Linked DNA regions of Diceros bicornis minor. The protein of the gene in region 2 interacts with the protein of the main gene of each other region in a biochemical or structural test. Links are inferred from orthologs where the notes say so. Each region holds a gene or a part of one and is shown on either strand. Other genes may lie near its edges.

Evidence for each region. The genes of interacting proteins can lie anywhere in the genome.
Region 1: the proteins of IRAK1 (region 2) and IRF7 form a complex in vitro, tested with the Homo sapiens proteins (2 studies listed by BioGRID, with this or other methods). The link is inferred for Diceros bicornis minor from reciprocal best matches to the Homo sapiens genes IRAK1 and IRF7.
Region 3: of the proteins of IRAK1 (region 2) and IRAK4, one has a biochemical effect on the other in vitro, tested with the Homo sapiens proteins (2 studies listed by BioGRID). The link is inferred for Diceros bicornis minor from reciprocal best matches to the Homo sapiens genes IRAK1 and IRAK4.

The regions. Positions count from the first base shown.
Region 1 is NC_080770.1:1,366,446-1,373,598, reverse strand, and holds the start of IRF7 (interferon regulatory factor 7), read right to left. Parts: upstream 3,070-7,153; 5' UTR 2,984-3,069; intron 2,961-2,983; exon of another isoform or gene 2,712-2,960; 5' UTR 2,428-2,711; coding exon 2,408-2,427; intron 2,320-2,407; coding exon 2,157-2,319; intron 2,069-2,156; coding exon 1,867-2,068; intron 1,561-1,866; coding exon 1,502-1,560; intron 1,409-1,501; coding exon 1,192-1,408; intron 1,057-1,191; coding exon 967-1,056; intron 749-966; coding exon 359-748; intron 273-358; coding exon 154-272; intron 83-153; coding exon 1-82. Other genes in the region: CDHR5 (cadherin-related family member 5), read right to left, coding at 4,331-4,765, 5,280-5,488, 6,046-6,363, 6,461-6,551, 6,629-6,742, 6,847-7,047, 7,148-7,153.
Region 2 is NC_080781.1:138,094,206-138,101,763, forward strand, and holds the start of IRAK1 (interleukin-1 receptor-associated kinase 1), read right to left. Parts: upstream 3,058-7,558; 5' UTR 3,041-3,057; coding exon 2,905-3,040; intron 2,823-2,904; coding exon 2,655-2,822; intron 2,548-2,654; coding exon 2,416-2,547; intron 2,298-2,415; coding exon 2,194-2,297; intron 2,016-2,193; coding exon 1,827-2,015; intron 1,595-1,826; coding exon 1,530-1,594; intron 1,302-1,529; coding exon 1,187-1,301; intron 414-1,186; coding exon 295-413; intron 1-294.
Region 3 is NC_080756.1:25,385,896-25,393,099, forward strand, and holds the start of IRAK4 (interleukin-1 receptor-associated kinase 4), read right to left. Parts: upstream 3,070-7,204; 5' UTR 2,984-3,069; intron 2,951-2,983; exon of another isoform or gene 2,833-2,950; intron 702-2,832; 5' UTR 653-701; intron 1-652. Other genes in the region: pseudouridylate synthase PUS7L, read left to right, coding at 3,333-3,340, 6,499-7,204.

The DNA of each region.
Region 1 (7,153 bases), on a different chromosome or scaffold from region 2:
GGCCCAGGCTGCTGCTGTCCAGCGAGGACACGCCTTCACGCTGCACGCCCTCCAGGTGCGCCCGGCACAGCCACGGCTCCAGCTGTGGGGAGGGCGCCGTCAGGCCAGGCAGGGGCTGTGTGCAGCCTCGCCCACCCTGGGCCTGCACCTCACCTTCACCAGGACCAGGCTCTTCTCCTTGGGCCTCCTGGCTGACAGGTCCTGCCCAAAAGCCAGGTAGATGGTGTAGTGTGGGGAGCGCTGGCGCCGGCGAGCCCGGAACTCCACCAGCTCTGCAGGACAGGGGCTTTGTGAGTAGGGACGGGGACAGGGGCTTGGGGGACGGGGGGAGGCAGCCCAGAGCGAACGCATCACTGACCTCGAAAGAAGGTGCCGAAGTCAAAGATGGGAGTGTCGCAGTTCCTGGGCAGCAGGCGGGCCGGGGTGGAGGGACTGGCAGAGCCCAGGGGGCCACCCACCTCCCAGAAGACCTTGCACTTGCCCAGACGCCGGGCCCATAGTCCAGGCCCCCGGAGCTCCAGCTGCAGGCCAGGGGCCACGTGTTGCAGCAGCTTCTCTGTGTAGTGAAGCTGCTTCTGGTCGGGGAGCTCGGCAGGGCTGGGGAAGGCCACTTGCTGGGGCTCTGTGGCCTCCACGGATAGGCTGGGGGGCCCGTACAGGAACACACAGCTCGGGCGTCCCACCACCTCCTGCAGCACCGTTCGGCCCTTGTACATGATGGTGACATCCAGGGCCCCCAGGCTGGGTTCTGTGTGCAGAAGGAGCTGTGAGCAGTGGGGCCTGGCCGGACTCGCTCACCTGCCACTGGGGGGCAGGCACTGGGGGATGGTGCAGGGCGGGGCTCTGCTTCTTGTAGGGGCTACCAGGGCTCTGGGGCTGGGGGCTAAGCCTGCATCGGGGAGGAAGGGCTGAGTTAGCACCTGGTCCCCCAGCCCCTCCCTCCACATGTCCCCAGGCTCCTCTCACCTGTCATCTGGGCTTGGGGCTGGGGCCTGGGGCTGGGGGCCGCCTCCACTGCCCATGGCAGGTGTGGCTGCCCGGCAGGGAGCTCTGGACCTGAAGAGGATGACAGTGGGAACAGCTGTACTGGCCCAGCTGTGATCAGCACCATCCCTGCTGGACACCTCCCCCTCTTCCCAGGGACTTTGCTGTCCTGCCTGCCCTTCCCCTTGGCAGAGGACAGCCCCTCACCAGGAGCTTCTGGGGGGATCGGATCCATCCCCCATGTAGCTTCCAGCAGATGGTCTTCCAGGCTGCTCTGCTGCAGAGCCTGGAGCAAGAGGTCCTCAGCATCGCCAGCTGGGCTGGAAAGAGGGCTTAGGGCACAGGGCTCAGGACTCAGCCTGGCCAGCCCATGCCCCGGCCTCTCACCAGCATCTCCTGCCAGGCCCGGCCTGAGGAGCCCGCCCTGCAGGGGAAGGCAGTGGCAGCATAAGCAGCTTCCAGCACCAGGGAGAGGTGGCAGCCCCAGCAGGAGACAAGGAGGGCAGAGCAGCCTTACCGTGGTTGGTGGGGCATCTTCACGGGCCTCATCCTCCCCCTGGTTAACGCCTGGACCTTCTGAGGGAGAATGGGGACCTGAGACTCCGGAGTGGGACGCCTGGGTGTGAACCCCTGGGTGGCACTTTACAGCTGGACTGCGCCTCCCCTTCACTGGCCCCATCAGCTTCCTCCCTGTGATCCCCACCCCCTTCCCCAACAACCTGGCACCAGCCTCTCCCAGGCTAAATTCTAAAACTGCAGATCCGACCCAGCGGTTGTCCCCTGACAAAACCAAGTTCCAACACCCTTCGCGCCCTGAACGTCCTGCTTCCCTGCCGGCAGCCCTCCCCCGGCGTTCGGCAGCCCTCCCCCGGCGTTCCTCACCTGCCCATCCCACCTCGGGGCTGAGCGCGTACACCTTATGCGGGTCGGTGGGGTCCCCAGAGTTGTCTTGCAGCATCACAAACCGCCGCGTGCTGCGCAGTGCGCAGCGGAAGTTGGTTTTCCAGCCGGCGCGGAGGGCGTTCTCGGAGGTCGGCGGGTCACCTCCGCTCGGCGGCCACCTGCCACGGGCCACGGCCCAGGCCTGGGGAGGGGAGGGAGGGGGTGGGCCTGGGGGCGCAGGTCGGGGGCCTGGGCCAGCCCTTCTGCCCGGGGCGGGGCTGGGGTCCCACCTTAAAGATGCGAGAATCGGCTTCGCCCAGGTCCTTCCGCGAGAAGTGCTTCCAGGGGACGCGGAAGTGCGTGCGGGCCGCATCCAGCCACCGCAGCCCCTCATAGCGGCCGCTGCTGACCTCGCCCAGAAGCCAGTCTCCGAACAGCACGCGCGGGGACCCCCTGCGGGCGGAGCAGCCAGCGGGGTCGGTGGCGCGGGCGGCAAGGTGCGAGGGGACAGGCACCTGGGGAGCGTGGGCCAGGCTCTCACCTGTCGGGAGGCACGGCCATCGCTCCTGCAAGGACTGGACGTGGAGAGGCTGGGAGTGCCCTCAGCTGCGAGGGATTGTGGTCACGGGTGGCAATTAGGTGTCGTCACACTAGCGTGGCCCAGTTGTTACAGGTGATGGGGTCACAGGTGTGGGTTGAGGGCTTATAGGCCACAACGTTGCCCAGGTATGGATTTTGGGGCAAAGGTGGCGATGGGTGTGACAACAGATGCGGCGGGCGCGCACACGTGCGGTCACAGGTGTTGAGCCAGCGTCCAGGCCTGCTGGCTGGTCGCAGGCTGGACCCTGCGAAGACACGACGGAAATGGCTAGGTGGAGGTCGGCCCAGGGCGCCGGGAAACCGAAACCGCCGTCGCAGGAAAACGAAACCTAAGCCGCGAGGCGGGACGTCCGGGTGGCGGGCGCCTCCGGGTCCCCGAGCCACCCAGCCCCCTCCAGTCCCTCGTTCCGGACCCGGCTCCCCGACCTTCCCCTGGCGGCGCGTCCCTCGCTCGGCACCCCCCCGGCCACGCCCTGTGGCTGCCCCTGGAGCTCAGCGTGGGGAGAGTCCCGAGTACCTGGGTGCCGGAGCCGCCGGGCCGGGAAGTTTCGTCTCCCCGGGGGAGCGAGAACAAGCGCTTTTATGGGGCGAGCCCGGGGGACGGGCTAGGGCGGGCCGGGGGCGGGCCGGGAGTGGGGTGGGCCCTCCCAGCTCCAGGTGCTGCGAAAAAACTCATGTGGTCTGTTCCCCGAGCCCCTGTGCAGTCTCTCGGTGGGGGCGACAGGCCTCGTCTGGGGACAGCCCGAGGGGAGGGCGGGTCGCGGAGGGGCGACAGGAGTGGCCAGTCCCGCCGGCCTCCCAGGCTCAACCTCTGCGGGGACCAGTCACCCCTCTTCCTCCAGAAGCACCCCATGCACCAGGGGGACTGCGGGCTCCGGCCAGTAACGAGGGTGGGGGAGGCAGGGGGCCAAGCTGGGGACCCCGTGAACACAAAAACAAAACCTGGCCCCAAACAAAACCAAGCACTTCTTTTCATGGAAAAGCGGGTAACCGGGGCATGGAACGAGCGGCAGATGTGGCGTGTGGTGTCTTAACCATGAGAATTGCTCAGACAAGATGTAAATGCCCTCGAGAGTAAAACATTTGGAAAGGAATTCGTGATGCCTTTCATTAGGAGAAACACCGATGACTCGTGAGGGACAGTGTGGTGGCAGCGCAGAAGTCCACCCCTGAGGAAGCAGGCGGAGGGGGGCCCTGTCCCCCACTTGGTGGCCCTGGTTCCCCCACAGCCTCCGCCGTGCACCAACGGGCCGCCACCCCGCAGGCACAGTCCGGGCGCCTGGGTCGGGTGCCTCGCTCGGAGCACTTGGTGTTTACTGCCCCAGCGTACCACACTGGCACACAGGCTGTGACCCCCTGGAAGGTCCCAGGGACCATGCCCTCCCAAATGAGTCTCCTTGAGGGTGCCGCCTCAGCCTCCTCCAGGCAAGACCTCCGTGTTGAGTCGGGAGGGCGAGTACGCAGTGCGAGGTGCCCCCTCCTCTGGCCGTGGTTAGACCAGGAGAGGAACTTTCTGGCCGCCAGCTGGCACTGAGCGTGGGAAGCTGCGCCGGGCGGGCGCAGCTGGTGGTTTACGGGAAGCGGCACCCGCGCTGGGGACAGGGGGACGACACGGCCCGCCCTTCCCCGCCCCCACGACCCCCAACACCCCCCCCTACCCCCCACCCGCAGCGCGTCTTTGAGGACTCCGTGCGCGCGGGAGCCAATGGGCCGCGCCGTGACCCCCCAATCGGCGGCCACTCTGGGGCAGACCCCAGGCACCCCTCGCCCGAGATCCGAAAGTGTCATTTTATTTTTCTCAGTGCAGTGGGGGACAGCGGCCGAGTGACTCGGGGTCCAGACCCGCGGGCGGTCGGGGGTCGCGCTAGACGTAGGTGGAGTCGCCGGGCGCCTGGTCGGGGGCGCCTGCACCGGGGCCCGCGCCAGCGCCTTCATCCTCGCCGCCGCCCTCGCCGTCCGAGTCGCCCGCGCCGTCCGCCTCCGAGGTGGGCGCGTTGAGGACCACCACATCGGCCTCGGCGCCAATGTCTTCGCCGAACCACACGGCCTTGTAGCCGCCCTCGGGCCGCCGCTCCTTGGTCAGAATGGACCTCACCTCCGCGGGGCCGGCCCCGTCCTGGGCCGCCGCGGGGGACTCGGGGACGCCGGCGGAGGGCACGGGGCTGGGGGGCGCGGGCTCCGGGGGCTCGGGCGGGGCCTCGTCCGTGGTGGGGCCGGGTGTGGGGCTGGGGGCCGGCGCCCAGTTGGCCTCACGGTCTTGAATGAGGAAGGCCTTGTCAAAGCCACTGGGCTGGGGCTCCTGGGGAGGGACGGGAGGGAGCGTCATCCAGGACCCTGCCTGGGCTGCAACCCCCTGGTGCCCTCCCCAGAGACAGGGGTCTGCGCTGGTCCGTGCCCTTTTCTCTGCCTTTCCCTGCTCTTTCTCCATCTTTCCCACTATGGTGTCTACACCCCATCTCTCCTCACCTCTGCTCTCCATCTCCCCACTGATGGCTGATTCCTGGTCTCCTGCTGCCTCTCCACCTCCCCTTCTATCTCCCCCTTCTTCACCTCCCCTGCTCCCTGCATCTCCCCCCTTCCTGCATCTCCTGGCGCCTTCCATCTGCTCCTCCCTCTATCTACCCCTCTCTCCATCTACCCCTTCCCTCCATCTACCCTCTTCCTCCGTCCTCCACTCCATCTTTCCGTTGCTCTCTGTTCTCACTCTCACGTCCCTGTCTCTTGGTCTTTCTCCACCTCTGTCTGTCTATCCGTCTCCTCTTCTGTCTCTCGTCTGTCCCTCTCCTGTGCTGTCCAGCCGCCCGGGGCCTCACCAGAGCTTTGCTAGCACAGGACTTGCATAGGTGGCCGTAGTGCTTGTAGCCGAGGATGGTGAGGGCGATCAGAGCTAGCAGCAGCAGCGCGCCCAGCACACCGCCCACGGCTGCCATCTCCGCTGTCGAGAAGCGCCGGTCCCCAGCGTGGCTGCCATCCGGCCCGACACCCCCCGTGGAGGTGCTGCCTCCTCCAATCCCGGGCGTGCCTGCTGGTGACACCACTGCCCACTTGCTGTCGGCACTACAAGCGCTCACCAGCTCAGCCTGTACCAGCTCAGAACTCCCCGAGTAGAAGCCAGCCTGGCCGCCTCCCGGAGTGAGGGTTCTGGAGAGTGGGCAGTACTGACGCCCCCCCAAGGAGCTGTATTCCCAGGGTCCCCCAGGGAGGCCAGACTGCTGAAGGGAAGGAGGGGGGTGGGGGTCAGTGCCCCCCAGCCCCAGGTGGGAGGAAGGGGTCCAACACCACAGGAAGGGAGATGAGGGCAGCACTGATGCCGGTGGAGTGGACGGCCCTGGGAAGTGTGGGGTTCGCTGAAGCCAACGTGTGGCCTCTGCCCTGCCCTCCACTCACCTTTCCCGGTTTACCTCCTCAGGGCCCCCAGGACCTGTCTGTCTCTGCCCAGAAAGAGCAGACCCCGTCTTGGGATCTCATGGTCATTCTGGGCCAACCTGGGGCGGACCCTGCCCTCCGGTGACTCCCAGGACCACCCAAGTCATGAGTCAGGGAGCATGAGGGTGACTCTAGGGCAAATGGGGGTGCTACCTGAGGGCTGGGGGGTCCTGCTGAGCCCAGGGGCTGTTGGCTGCGAGATTCCTGGCTTCTGAGTCTGTGCTGAGCCCCCGCTGGGTGAGGCTGATGGAGGGGAGGTGCTGGTTCCCGCACTGGGGGGCCCCCCAGGCGTGGTCGAGGCAGGCGGCCTCAGAGTTGTGCCTGGGGGGGAGTGTGGGCCAGTGTCCCCCCCAGCGCTGGTCGTGGAGGGTCCCTGAGAGGGCCCGGAGGGCCTGGGGGTTTCTGAAGTGGTGCTGCTTGAGGGCCCAGCTGTTCCTCCAGCCTCTGGGGATGTGGAAGGACCTGGGGGGTCTGGGGCCAGGCACAGGGCTCAGCTTGCCTCTGCCCCCAGCATGCCTGTGGCAAGAAGCCCCCCCCGAGCCATCACCGGGGACCCCTGGAGGCTCACCTGTGGGGGTGGGGGTGGGCTCCTGTTCTGACACCTGTATCTCCACCAGTGTGGTCGCTGTGCCTCCAGTCGCTGTGTTCGTGGCCTCGACCTGGGGCAGGAAGGGGGCTTGTCTCACCTAGGCCCCGCCTTAACTCCCACCCCTTAGAGATGCCACAGGCCCCTCACCTCTGCGTAGAAGACCCCCGCCTGCGTCAGTGGGTTGGCCACCAGCACGGCCTCCCCTTCCATTCGGAAGTCGGAGTTGTTGGTGATTCGGTACGTGATGGCCGAGTTGAGGTCCTGGACACGGCCCCAGTGAGTCCTGGACCCAGGCTGCCCCCGTATCCCCCCAACCCACCCACAGAAGGGAGGCCAGGCAGACCCAGGGGCCAGGCGGTGCCTACTGGGAACTCGGGGTCCTGGGCCTGGATCCTCAGAGCCTGGGAGGGGGTGGCTGCGTCCTTGACGAACTCGCCGCTTCCTGAGCCCAGCACCACGGTGCCGCGGTACAGGCTCTCGGGGAAGTGGGGCAGGCTCCCAGCAGCGTCTAGGGCCTCCACTGTGACCTGGGTCACCGAGTAGCGGGCCTGGTCTGCCTGCTCCCCCTGGGGGTGGGGAGGCGGCAGTGGTCAGTGGGCCCTCGAAGGGCAACCCTGCAACCTGAAGCTCAGGAGGGGCCCATGGAGACCCGGCCAAGGCACCTACCTTGAC
Region 2 (7,558 bases):
CATTGATGGGGCCCATCTTTGGCCTCTGCTTCTACACCTGTCCCATGCCAGGTACTCAGTGACCTGGGGCCCCCAACTCTGATGTCCCCCACCTCAGCCTCGAGCAGGAGAGGGTAGGCCTATTCTCATGGGGGTCACTCAGGACGGGGCTCCTTGGGACCAGACACCAGGCCTTGGCAAACAGGCGCCTCTGCTCCCTGCCGGCAGAAGGTTTGGGAACATCATCCCCTTGCCGTAGACTCTGCTCCTGCAGTTCTCAGGGGCCCCAGGGGCCTGGCTATGGCCCCTCCTCACCTCTTGACGTCTCCATGGATGAGGCTGGGGCTGTCCTGATGTAAAAACTGAATTGCCCGAGCCGTGCCCAGAAGGATGTCCAGTCGCTGAGGCCAGGAGAGAGGGGGGCAGGCCTGGGTCTGGAGTGGCAGAGGGAGCAAGGGGCACAGGGGAGGCTGGGGGGCCACCGTTCCTTGACCCCCAACCCTCCCTCTACCTGTCACCACGGGGTCTGGACAAGCCACTTCACTCTCTTGGCCTCAGTTTCCCCTTCTGGAAAATGAGGAATAAAATCTCCATGAGCTACTTCATAAGAGGGTCGAGACTGAGCCATTCTGATGCTTTGTAAAGCATGCCGAGGGAATGTACTTTCAGGAGCCATCACAGAATTTGGCAGTCCTGAATTCCTGGAGTCCATTCATTGGTCCCGGGGCGATCAGGATGTCATGGGAGGCTTTCTCCCCACCTCCCCCAACACAGTGTGCTTATCCTGAGCGCTTAAACACGAGGGCAAGGACGCTCTTGCCCCGTGTCTTGTGCACGCTTCAATAGACAGGGCCCAGTTGCTGCTGCCCACTGGCCCCTTTTCTCCAAGGCGATGATGACAAGAGCCTCCAGCTACTCTGCTTGCAAAGGGGAGAAGTTGTTGGAGTCAGGCTACTCTGAGTCAATAACCCCCTTTTTAGAGGCACCATGGCCCTGCCTCTTGGGCACGCAGGAACAGCAAGGGAGAGGCCATGGGAAAGAGTTCCAGGGAAAACAGTGACCCACTTGGGCCAAACCCTGAGCCCAGGCCCTGCCTGTTGGTGGGACCTACTCACACAGGCTGAAAGCCCAGTCCCCGTGCCCTGCTTCGCCTAGGTGCCAAGAGTGCTGTGGGTCCAGGGAAGCGTGCCACGCCAGGTAAGGCTACCTGGAAGTGGAGGCGGTCTTCCAGGGAGCCGTTGGGCAGGAAGCCATAGACAAGGCAGTAGAAGCCACTCTGAGCACAGTAGCCAGCAAAGTCAACGATGTTTGGGTGACGAAACCTGCTTGAAAAAGTGGGGCCTGAGCCCTCTGGCGCCCAGCCTCCACCACACCTTCCATTTGGCCATTGTGGGGGTGGGTAGTCCCTGGTGGTTCCTCAGCTAGGCTGGGTGTGGCAGGCTTTGGGGGCCTGAGGGAGCCAGGTCCTGTGGTGTGTGGTCCTGGATGCCAGTGGGGCCCTGGTGTGGCTCTCCCTCTGCCCCCAGCCAGGAAGGATGCCCCAGGCTCACCGTGACAGCTGCTCTACTTCGGTCAGGAAGCTCTGCTTCACGGTGGTCCACTCCAGGTCTGCCTCCTGCAGCCCCCAGGGAAAACCGTAGGGGAGCGGCATGAGACTCTCACAGCCAAGGATTGATGGCCACACCCACGGCCATCTGTCCTGGGCCCAGAACAACCAAGGGACTGGGGACCCTGACCCGGGGAATCAAAGGGCTGAAGGAGCTGCATGGGGAAGCAGTGGGGGAGGACCAGAAAAGTGTGGGTCTGTTGCTGGCCCTCCAGGGCCTTTGTTGAGATGCTCCACCCACCTCCTTCAGCCTCTTCACAGCGTACACCGTGTTCCTCATCACAGCCCGGTACACACACCCAAAGCCACCCTCCCCGATCTTCAGCTCTTCTGAGAAGTTGTGAGTGCCCTGGGAAATCTCATGGAGGGGCCAGCAGAACGGAGAGGGGTGGGCCCCCTGCAGGAGGAACACCTGGCTGTCTGGGCTCGGCTGTGGGAAGAGACTCCAGATCAGGTGAGGACCTGTCTCCTCCCCTGGGTCCCTGCCACAAGCAACCCCACCCCCTCGCCAGCTGCCTCAGCTGGGCTGGTTGGGGATCCTAGATGTACCAAAGGCTAGGTTTCTTGCTCCTTCTCTGGAACCTTTCCCAGGGGCAGGACCCACCTACCTTGGTAGAGGAAGGGGCTGGAGATGGTGGTGGTGGCCGGAGGGCAGCAGGGCTTGGGACAGGGCCAAGTTCAGACCCAGAATGGGTCTGGGAGCCTGGAAAAGCTTCATAAAGACACCAGTGAGTGGCAGGCAGAGACCGGTGGCAGAGTGTTCAGCCGTGGCCATGGTCAAGGTGGCCATTTCCTCAGGTCCATCAAGCCCAACACCCGGGCCCTCTTACCTGGGGAGGGGAGGGTGGAGGCTGACGACTGCAACTTCCGGGGGCTGGGAGCCTCAGCCTCAGAGGGTGCAGCGATGCTGCTGGGCTTCAGGGCGGTGGTGCTGGGGGGCAGGTGGGGGGCGGGAGGGTGCCCTGGGACGCCAAGGAAGGAAAGGACGGTTAGGCCCAGGCGGGGGGAGGAGCCCCATGGGAGGCCCAGGGCGGCCCTCAGCCAGGGGGTCCCGGTGCTGCGTGCTCACAGGCCGTGATGATGTCCCGAGCCCGGAGCAACTGCAGGTGCGTGAGGATGCGCACGAGGTCGGCCACGCGGGCGTTGCGGTTGATCCAGGGCCACAGGACGCTGGCCGTGCGCTGCTCGGAGCGCTCACACAGCCGCAGCTCGGTCTGGTCGCGCACGATCAGGGCGGCTGCGGGGTGGGGGGCGTCAGGCCTGGGGGCCCGGGGCCCGAGCGCCCCCCGTCCCGCCCTCGCCGGCCCGCCGCCACCCACCGAACTGGCACCAGTCGGCGGGCTCCAGGGCGTCCATCACTTTGTAGAAGCGGCACATGACCCAGGGCGGCACCTCGTACAAGAAGTGCTGGCCGCCGGGGACCGCGGGGTCCCCTGGGCCCGGCCCCCCGGCCATGGCCGCCGCCGCCGGGCCAGGGCCTCTTGGGGCCTCTCGGGGCGGCGGCGGGCGCGGGCCTCGGCCCCGGTCCGCGGACACTGACTCACTTCCCCTTTAAGCCGGCCTCGTGCGACGCCCGGCGAGGCGGAAGGGGCGGTGCCCGGGCCCGCCGCCATCTTGTCCGCCGCGGCCGCGGCCGCCGCGAGCCTCGGCCACACGGGGGCGCCGCGCGCTGTCCCTCCCCGAGAAGGCAGCGCCGCTGGGCCCGGCGAGGCGGGCGCGGCGGGCTTCCAGGAGGAGGGCCCGTCCGAGTGGGGCTCTGAGGCATGGAGGAAAGCCGTTCCCAGCCCTGAGGACAAAGGGCACGGCCAAGGCACGGGACGTTCCCGAAAGGGCTAGAGCCGGGCCTTGTGAGAGTCGCTGGGAGGTCCCCTTAAGAAGTTTTGGCTTTCTTTGGGAGGCAGTGGAGAGTCGTCAGAGAGCCAGGCAGGACGGGGTCAGATGTGGGTCCCACAAAGGCCCCCGGCCGACTCCCGTCAGCTGGCTGTCAGGCTGGGTGCAGGGAGAATGGTCTGGAAGCTTGTACAGCAGGCCACCCCCGCTCAGAGGATTTCTGCCCACCTCCTGAGCCCTGGATCCCATCTTTTCCTCTCCTTCAGGAACCTGCTCCAGCAATTGTTAGCTCTTTGCAGTATCTGTCACTTTTCCTTCTTTGCTGGCTCCTTCCCACTAGCACATAAAACGTATTCATCTCTCTTAAAAACGGGCCTTCAGCTCCTGCTGTCCCTCCTCCCTCTTGTTGTCATACTTCTGGCTCAGTTTGCACGGGACCCTGTGAGGACAGCAGAGGCCGGCCTCTTCCTCCCTCTTTTCTGAAGCAGTCACCAGGCACCAAACTCAGTTCCCAGCCTGTTCCACATCTTCCTCCATTTCTCTCTTGCCCATTCCCACAGTGCTCCGCAGCCATTGATTTCTTCAGATTTTCTGGCACTCCTCCATTCCCCGGCCCCACATCAGCAGCCACTATTTGCCTGTCATCTCCCTGAACATCTCTGGAGTCCATCTCTTCCCCACAGGCCCGCTGCTCTCACTACTACCACTTACCTGGATGAAACTGCTGGCTTCCTGATGCTTCCCTGCCTTGTCTGCCTGGGTGGTCTTCCTCAGGGACAAATCAAGCTACATGACTTTCCTGCTCAAGACCTTCCTGTGGTTCCCAAAGGCCTCCGGTGGGGTCCCAGCTCTTTAGTGCAGACTCCATGCCGTCAGAATTTGGCCACTGCCCACCCATGTCATGTCTAGCTCTCTGCACACGTCAGCAGCCTTAAGCCATCTAGAACTCATTAGGGTTCCACAGATGTGCCAGTGCTCCCACATCCAGGAGTTTGCACGTGCAGTTTCCTGGCCCTCATGTGACAAGGTTGAGCTCAAACAGCTCCCCAGGTGTAAGCCAGGGTGAAAATTCCCTGGGCCCCTCTGGCATCTCTCATGCATCCTTCTTGAGCCTGTGCACTTGCCTGCCTCCCCCACTACACAGGGGAAGACCCCAGAAGTAGATTCTCCAGCTGGATGCATGCTTGCAGGGCAACAGGTCACCTTCCCTGATGGCCCCCCCTTGCCCTCTCAATTCTGACCCCAAAGGGTTCCCCCCTAAGCTGTTCTCCCTGGGACTTAGGGGAGTTTCTGGAAACTGGGTCTGCCTAAGACAGGCCTCCATTGGAGCCTCTTCCCAGAAGTCACAGCCACTGCTGGCCACTCCCAAAGAGGAGGCCAGCCATGCCCTAAGCCTCAGTGGCTTATCGCAGGGACAGCCCTTACTGAGACTACCAACCCGGGTATGGGAAGTTATCATGCATGTACATACTAAGCTCCAAGAAAACAAGAGACTTGGTCCTACTTGCTCACTGCTGGACTGCAGCTCCCAGGACAGGCCTGACACACAAGAGATGCTCAATACACACAGGTCGAATTTCAACCCTTTGTTTTAATGTTCAAGGCCAGGACTTTCAAGTGCACCTTCTAGTAGGTGTGTCCACATTTGCATGTGAAGCTGGACTCTGAGCAGTTGTCACCCCCTCCAGCCCAGCAACAGCCTGGTGAGGATGGCTGTGGCGGGACAGGCAGCTCCTGAGAGCCCAGAGCCTTGCGGGAAGCCAGGGAGCGTGGGCAGGGTGTGATAAGGCCTGCAAACCCCACAATGACAATAGCGCCCCCTTTGGGCAGGGAGCCAGGTCAGCAGAGGCCATAGGAGCGTCTTGGGCGATAGGCACAAGAGGAGCTGGAGCTGGAGCTGGGGGGCGGGGCGGGTGGTGGTGGTGGTGGTTTCCAAAAGCACCTCGGCATATCCAGACATATCCAGACCGAGTAGGCACCCCTGCCATGTCCCTCAGGAACAGGGAGGTTGTGCTGCTGTGCAGAAGGCCTGCAGCCTGCCTGCCCTCTCAACCTAGGGCATGGCGGGCAGACTCGTGCCTGGCCCTTCCCGGCCTGCTGCCCCAGAACTTTCCATCACACGCAGGAGCAGTGTGCCCGGAAAGTGTGGCCTTGGAGCACCCAAGGGGAGGTGGTGCATGGAGTAGGCTGCCCTTCCCTCGCACAGCAGTCCTGAAAGCGGCTGGCTATTTGTGTTTAGGGACAGCCAGACTGAATCAGGAAACACACCACCATGCTGTCCTATGAGCTGTCTGATAATGAAAGCCCAGACCTTGAGTCACTTTCACAGAGAGATTTATCAAGAATGCTAACAGCACAGGATACAGTACTTCCCAACAAAAGGTGCAAACGCATCACTTAGAAAGGCATGCTGAGTATTCTTTGCTTTCACACGTATTAAAAAACTTACAAAAATAAAATAAAACTGCGTGCTGCCCATCTTTTCAAATAGTAAAAGAACCTTATGAAAAAAATCACTTGATTTTACAACAAAAGACACAAACGGACATTTTTATGTAAATTTATAAGGCAAACTCTTTATATAATAAATAGGTTACAGGGATTCAGTGGGGGGTGTTTTGAAACGTATACAGGTACATTCAGACAGGTTTACTGAAATGGTACAAATTTCCTTAATAAATTGCCTTTGTTTTTAAATATATCAGTGCTTTCAGTCATTTGGCTATACACAAAGAACCTTTTTTTGAACACTACAAAAAAGCAATCAATATTTTTTGTTTTTAAAACGACCTACTTATTTTCTAAAGTAATTGTCCCAAAACACAAAAACTGAAGGTGAATGCGATCAATAGAGGGCTTTTCGAGACATCTCCAGCCAAGTCTGTCCTGGGCGGCTCCCAGCGCCCCGTGCACACCTCTCCCACAGTCAGCCAGGCTTCCGGGCTGGAGCCGGCTCCCTCTGCACAGGGCGGCCTGTTGTCACTGCGACTCTGGAGGGGACAGCCACCCTGCCTGGGTCTTTCTGCTACTGAACCCCATGTACAAATGGTCACTACAGTCAGCACTGTCCTCGCCTTTCAGAGGAGGTGCCACTGGGCACTAAGGGAGCACACATTTGTCCCTGTTGCGTGAGCCCAAAACAATGTCTGGTGGGGGTAACAGCTTTTCTGAGAAGGATCTGGTTTTGGCATGGAAAGGGAAAGGGCTTTCTCACATCCAAATTTTGCTGGGGATTAGATGACAGCAAAGAGAGCGCACCTCCTCCACCGTTATCTTACTGCCCTGATGGTGGGATCAAGAGGTCACATGAGCGTTGTGCACTGCAGACAGGGTGGGATGTGATGGAGGTGTCCTAGACCGTAATGCCCACCGCCTGTCCTGTCCAGGAAGAGCTGTGTCAGGTGGAGAGTGGCCAATCTGCCCTGTCAAGATATATGTGACCTGTGGCCACAGTGGAGGCCTCCAGGGAGATGCCCACCCTTTGAGCCACATGGCTCAGGCCCACTCCATCCTCCTCCCACGGAGGCGAGGTCGGCTCTGCTCACACCCCGCCCTGGCTCCCCTTGCAGGAACCTCAACCTTGTGAGTCCTTAAAAATAGCGATGATGCTAATCATCACAGGGGTGAAAAAAAGGCAAAAGAATCCACAAGGTGGAACAAAACCTGGTTTTGCTCTGACTTTGAAAATGGTAACACATCAGCTATTCGGTCCGTCGGCTTGGGCTTCACTTCTTCTGGTGGCTTTGGGCTGATTGGGGCAGGGGTCATCTTCAGATCTCCCCTCCTGGGGAAAAAGGACAGCCCCTCTCATCTTGGTCACCATCCCCTCCCTCCGAATTCTTTTGTTTGTAAAGAAAAGGTGTCTAGAAGCATTTGTCTCTGGAACAATTACTTTAAACATGGTTACAATACAGACCAGTTCAAACACAGAAGAGATTTACTTAGCAAAGTTCCTTTCACCCACCAAAAATTACACAAATATAAGCCTCAACACCACAGTTAAGAGGACCAGTAGAGAGAACCTCAATGTTTGGAACACAAAAGGAGAAATAAAAACCAAACCAAACCCAAACAGAAAACCCCCAGAACGACAAGGGGAGGGCGAGGGAGGAGGGAGGAGAGCAAACACAGCACACGTTACAG
Region 3 (7,204 bases), on a different chromosome or scaffold from region 2:
TATGCCTGGAAGTTCTAAATCTCAGAATTTAAAATCTTACTTTAAACATACATTCATATATTACCACCAACACATATTTGGAAGAACATACACCAAAATATTAACCGTGGTTATCTCTTGATAGTGATTTTTATGGTGGTTTTGTTTTCATTTGCTTTTTTGCATTTTCAATAATGAAAATAAATTATTTGTGTAGAAAAAACATAAAAAGTGTCACCTCTTTCAAAGTGTTCAAAATTTTACTTTAGTGCACTTAGGATTAATAGAAGTGGAACAGGATCTATTGCTTACAAATAAACAAATAAAAATCTCCATGACTGTTTTCTCATACCATTAATTCTCATAGTAGACAAAACCACTGATATTTTCAAAGACAACTCAGAGAAGAATATAAGGTAAGGTAATAATTGAGAAATATACTTAAACCAGTGTCTGCTTGTAGAACCCAGCACCTTCCCACTCATATGCATGTTCTCAAAGTACTGTGCCCAAAATAGGAATTCAAAAAATTCTATTCAAGTAAATTAACACATTTTTAAGATTGTGCTTCATTATCACTCTGATCAGAGGAAGAGAGTGTACAGGGGTGCAGGGGAGATGGACTTTGAGGTTGCACGGGACTGCATGCTAATACATCTCTTTCACAAACTACCTGTGACCACGGTCAATGATTCAGTATCTCCGGACCTTGGTTTCTTCATCTGAAAAAGAGAGATGGTAACAGCTAAGAGGTGCTGTAAGATTTAAAATCAACAAACTGGAAGGGCCTAATCCTGTCCACAATAGGTGATCAAAATAAAATGTAGCGATGATTATTCTATGGCAGAAGTTATTCTTAAGTCACATTTTAAAAACAGAAACGTGCAGAGTTGTATTTAAGCTCAATTTTCAGAATAGTGGTGAGGGGCTACTGAGAAAGTGGAAATAAGAGGTCTGAGACTATAGCTAAGCGTTTCAGATATTGGGAGTCTTACTTTATAGAGCATAATATGTTCAATACGTCTACAACCTCCCTAAAATACCTTATTCACTCTGATGCTTTCTTAAGCAAAATATGCTGGAAAACCATTAATCTTTATTTTTGGACAACTCAACATCATCACTATGAAGAAAAGCTGGTGATATCTTCCAGATCTATTAAATTATATAGGGCTGCCCCTCTCAAATGGGGATACGAGCTGGTATGCCATAAATTAAACAAAACACATCACTCTTAGACATTGATTTAACTCAATGGCAAGTAATTTAAAATGCTTTGGATATATTAAAGAATATTATTCATTCATCAAATATTTACTGGGTTTCTGCTTTGTGCCAAATATTGATCCCTGGAGATAAAGCGTTAGGAAAATAAGAAAAAAAATAACTGAACTCATAGAGCTTATATTCTAATAGAGAAAGAGAGGCAATAAACAAATAAATTCCATAGTATGTTAGATGGTGCCACCTGGAATGGAAAAAAAATAAACAGAAAAGGGGGTTTCAGTTTTAAATAGGGTAGTCAGAGTAGGACTCAATAAGAAGGTGTCATTTGATTAAAAGTTTGAGGGATGAGAAAGCCAGCCACTGGGATATCTGTGGGAAAAGTTTCTGGGCAAAAGAAACAGTAAATGCAAGGGTCTGAAGTGGGCCCATTGAGAAACAGCAAAGAGACAGTAAGACTGGAGAGGAGGGAGCAGAAAAGTAGCAGATAAGATGAGAGGTAATGGGGCCAGGTATACTAAGTCTTTATAACCTTTGTATTGACTTTGTTTATGAGTGAGATGTTGAAGAGTGAGATGAGATGAGATGAGGTGAGATGAGATGAGATGAGAAGACAGTGGAGGTTTCGAGAAGAGGAGACACATGCTCTATACTTATGTCTTAAAAAGACACTGGGGCTGCTGCAGAGAATAGTGGATATTGGAGGAAGGGCAGAGAAGCAGGAAGAGCGACCAACTAGCAGAGCACACCAATAATCCAGGCAGGAGGTGCTGGCGGCTTGGACCAGAGAAGGCGCCAAGTCCTAGGATGCTGGATATTTTCTGAGGTAGAGCAAATAGAATCCTATGTGCTGATGTGAAGAGTGAGGAGATGGCACTAAAGTTTTTGGTCTGAACAAGTTTCCTGACATTTACTGAGATGGAGAAGACTATGGAAGGAGTAAGTTTGGCCTGGAAGATCAGGAGCTCGGTTTGGACAGGTAGAACCAAACTTCAAAAGAATGCTTAGCATGCAAACAGGAGAATAAAAGAAATAGGAACTTTCTGACAGATCTCTTCAAGGATTATCCCCAGAAAGAGAAAAGGCAGATTTCAATACTCTCTGCTCTCAGGGCTCCTTGGGCACATACGTTTTTGAGGCACTAACAGAACTATTTGTTCCCATTCTAAATGGCTAAAATGCTTTCTCCCTTTCTCAAGGTCTGCTTTTCATCCCTTTGTTTCTTCTCTTGCTTCCAGGCTGTCAGATAGACTTTCCCCTCTGATAATGCATTTATCTAATCCTTACACCCCCTCTCCACTTTCTAATTTCCTCGAAGCTTGGAAGCCGGAGAACAAGCTAATTAGAGTCTCGTGGAGGATCAGAATGCTTTCCACGCCGCATCTCTGCCGGCTGCTGGCCTCACTTCCTGGTTCTCAGGAAAAGAGATTTCATTTCGTAAACGGGTTCTCGGAACACACCGCCTGGGAGTTGAGAAACTTGAGGCGAGGTCCGATGGGGCTGGCTGGACCGACGGCTGGGGGACGCCTCCCCATGCCCCAGCTTCCTCCGCAGGTCCCACTCACTTTCTGATCCCCAGGCACCCACCCAAGTCTTTATCCCGGGGCAAGCTCTGCCCACGCCACCTACTTCCTCTCGAACTTCTCTCCCTTTGAAGATAAGAAGGCGATTTTCCTTCCGGGACGGTCCCTCAATAACCCTGGGGCAGAGGGACGGAGGCCGGGGCGCGGACCTCGGACCACCCGCGGTGAAGGCGGCGCGCACGGCCGGAATCCCTCACCTGTCCAGGGGCGAGGCACGGGGGGCGGGCGGGGCGCCGCCGGGAGAAGCCAGCCGCTGAGGCACCAGCGCACGGGGAAGGGCCGGACAGGGGCGTGGCCAGCCCTCAGGCCCCGCCCCCGCCCCGCCTTCCTCTTCCTCTTTGCGCCTCCAGGCGGCTCCACAATGTGAAAAATACCAGGTCTCGCGTGAGGCGTTTCTTTAAGTGGGAGCCTGCCCCTTTAAATACGCCTCGGTCGGAGGCCAACTAGTTTAAGGCTTCCGGGCATGCGCACAGCGTTGTGCAGAGGAATGTCTTCACCTGGACGTGAGGTAGACCGAGTTGAGCTTCTTGCGCGCTGTGGGGTTTGATGACAAGGTTGGCATTGGGACCCCGACCCTATGCCCCCAGAAGGAGGGCGACGTGGGCTAGTATCGCGCCTTGGGACAGGCGGGGCGTGGGGCCGGGAGAAGAAGCAAGTGGCGCTGCTGGCGGTCGGTGTCTGGGGGTGCTTGTGGACGCGCCAGAAGGCAGCGCCGCGGGAGACGGGTTCCGCGGACTGATGGCAGAAATAGGGAGTAGTAGGAGTGAGTTCGGCGGAGCATTGGTGAAGGAAGAGCATGAGGGCAAAGGCGCCCCCTTCCTCCATTTCTAACATCTTCCCAGAATTTGTCCTCAACCAACAATTGGCTGTCCTTGGGTCAGCCAAACTACGCTCCCGCTCTCCGTCCTATCCCCTCATCAACGAATCTGTTGCTTAGGAACACGGCACTTTCATGCTTAACTCCACGTGGGTCCCTTGGCGGCCCTCCAGCTCGGTCCCACTCGCACTAAGATGTTTGGTTGTAATTCCCTCGTCGTTGCTTCCTCCCCAAGTTGTTCTACGTATTCCACCAGCTTAGAATGTCTTTATATCGCCTCCTTTTTGGGGAAAGAGTAGCTCATTATTCTTTCCAAGGCCAATCTTACAACTATGCTTTTGATCACATTGCTTTGCAGCTCCTCTGACTCTTCATGACGTTCATCCTGCTCAGTGCCATCAAGTCATCTTACTAAAACATCTTTTTGGATTGTGTCATCTTCCTACTGGAACACCTCCAGTGGCCATCCATTGACCACTCAACGAATTCTGTCTTTGACTGGGCATTCAGTGTCTTACATAGTTTGGCACTAATCCAGCTGTATTTTCCAGAACTGTACTAGAAAACTTTTTCTCCTACTGCTGTGCATCTGGGCTGTTCAGTTTTCTCTAACACATTGCATATTTGGTTTGTACGTTACTTATGATATGACTCTACCTCATTTCTATTTCTTGAACCGTTTTCTGGACTTAGATGGCCTCTTCTTGCATTACGCTTTTCCTGATTATCATAGGCAAAAGTGATCCCTTCTTCCTCTTCACCATTACAGCTCTTATGTTGTACTAGTTGTGTCATTTATTCAACAATCACTATTGATTGTGAGCCTGCTATGTGCTTGACACTGTTCTAAATGTGAGATAATCAGTGAATAAGGCAGACAAGATTCTTGCTGTTGTGGAGCTAACGTTGTAGCTGGGAGAGATATACAATAAATAATGAGGAAAATTATTAGATAGAAATACTATGCAGAAAATTAAATAGGGTTTTGTGAAAGAGAGTGACTTGCTGGTTCCTTTAGATTATTGGTCAGGGAAGACCTCTCTGAGGATGTGATTGGGGAAGGACCGATTTAATCATCAGGAACAGTTAACACAAAGGAACTGAAGAAGACCAGTGTAGCTGGAGTGTAGTGGGTAATGGGAACGAGTACAAGATAAATTTGGGGAACAAAGTCCAGAATCTTAGAAGTCTTTGGAAGCCAAGGTAAGTAATTTGGATTTTATTATAAACGTAATTAGAGAGTTTTAAACACAGTTATGATATGATTTAGTTTACCTTTTAAATCATCATTCTGGCTGCTAAGTGGAGAATGGACTATAGTGGACTAGTGCTAGAAGCAGAGGTTAGAGGCCTTCACAATATTTCAGAAATTCTGGAAGTACTAAAGTAGAGTGATGAAAGCACAGCAGGAGTAATCTGAGAGCCAGACTGATGCTTCAAGTTGATGTAGTTTTTAGTGATGAGAAAATCAAACTATGACCAAGGTGAAGTGGAAGCGGGTTGAGGTTGAGATTGAGGAACTGAGGGAGCACAGTGTTAAATGGATGATCCATATGGATGGTCATGGAAGTCATGCTGAATAGGAAAGCAGTGAACCAGGTGTTAAAATCATCAGTGAATGAAGAAGAGTCATCCAGGGACCAGAGAAGGAATGACAGCAGATGGTAGGGCCTGATGGCATGAACTTCAAAGGAACTGAGATTTTGGGAGGTAGAGAAGGAAGAAATGGTTTGGAAGAAGCAGTGGCAGATATAGAAAATATTTGCAACCTCCAGGTCCTAAGTTTGGTGAGTGTGAAAGGAAAAATAGCCTTTGCTTGAGAGGACTGCAGAAGAGGCAGCCTGGGGAAATAGCCAGATTTCAATTAGGGCAAGAAACTGAGGAGACTGTAAGGGAAATTAAGGAATGAAGGAAAACAATATATCCTTATATATTCTTTAGGACAGTAGGATATGGAAAATTTGCTGTGATTTCTACATGGTATAATAGAAAGGATAGAGGTGGGTTTGCTAAATTGGTTCAGATTGGTAGAATACACTGTAGAAATGGGATGAAGGTCCAGATGATAATAACCTGCAGAGTGTGGTTAACACAAAGAACTGAGTAGTATGGGGCCCCTGGTCATTTTATCTTTCCTGTAGCTTCGTCTGGTGTGGTAGCCATGGGTTATGCAAAGAATGAGTGAAAGCTTCCTCAGAGGATTATTCTCTTGTCTACTGCTTCGCCAAGATCTGTAAGGGTTTCTTCTCTCTGATGCCAGTGATATGATTGGAATTTTCCTTTGGGTCAACCTCAAAAGATTGTATCTGTGAAAGTTTGTAACTGGGCTTTCAAGGAGGCTGAAGGTCCAGGATTAACTTAAGCCCACCTTGAAGCATATTTGTATTACCAGTTGGTATTTACAACTTCGTTTATATATCAGTTTGGACTATTTCTTCCTGTCTTCTCCTCATCCCTTCTCCCATCCCTAACCCCTAATATATAAAAATCTAGCCACAAATTCTCTGGAATTAGCTGCGAATTTTAAGTTTCAGAAGTGGTGTTTAGACAAATCCTTGTAAACAGTCCTGTGTTCTAGTCTCTTCTTTGTGGGCCTACAAATGGTATTTTTAATGTAAACTTGAAACATTTTAATCCTGCATAATAGATGGGAGCCTTGAGCGGGTAGAGTCAAGTTGCAAATCACCAGTTATACCAGAAAAAAATTTGCCTGTTAATTCATCTTGGTACAGGATAGTCAAAATACACATGATATATTAAATTATTAATGTCTTTTAAGGGGTCTCAGAATTGATGGGGAGGAAGAGAATTAGATAAATCCTGCAAATTTGTTTCTTTTTTGTTATCCACAACTTTTCTGTCTGGTAACTGACCGCCTCTCTGTTTCTTTTGTAGGCGTTGTTATTTAAGAATGGAAGAGGATATAGATTTTAGAATCAGGTTTAGTTCTTTGTGTTTCATTACTGATCATGTTGGCTTTCGTGGCACTATAAAAAGCTCACCAAGTGACTTCGTTGTCATTGAGATTGATGAACAAGGACAGTTAGTTAATAAGGCCACTGATGAACCTGTTTACAAGATTAGTAAAGTGCCACCTGAGTCAAATAATTTTGCGAAAAAATCAAAACTAGATCTTCAAAATTTATCCTTTGAAGAGGGAAGCAGTCAAGAAGTTGATACTTTAGCTGGGTGCTCCGATGATGACCAGAATCATCAGTCTAGTTCGGAAAAGGAAGATACTATCAAGGATGGAGCTTCCAAAGATGAAGAAGAAAAAGTTGATGTAATAAGCTCCTTGTTAGATGAAAAAACTAATGAATTACTGAATCAGTTTGCCTGTGATACAAAAGAGAAGTGGAATTCTAAAACTGAGCTAATTGGACCGTCTCCTGAATTCTCATTAGGCAGAATCCTTGACAAAAACCAGAGGGCTATTTTGCATAGTGCTATTAGGCAGAAGTTTCCTTTCTTAATAACTGTAGGAAAAAACAGTGAAATTGTTGTAAAACCAAATCTTGAATATGAAGAACTCTGTCACTTGGTATCCGAAGAAGAAGCATTTGGCTTTTTTAAATATTTGGATGCAAAGAAAGAAAATTCC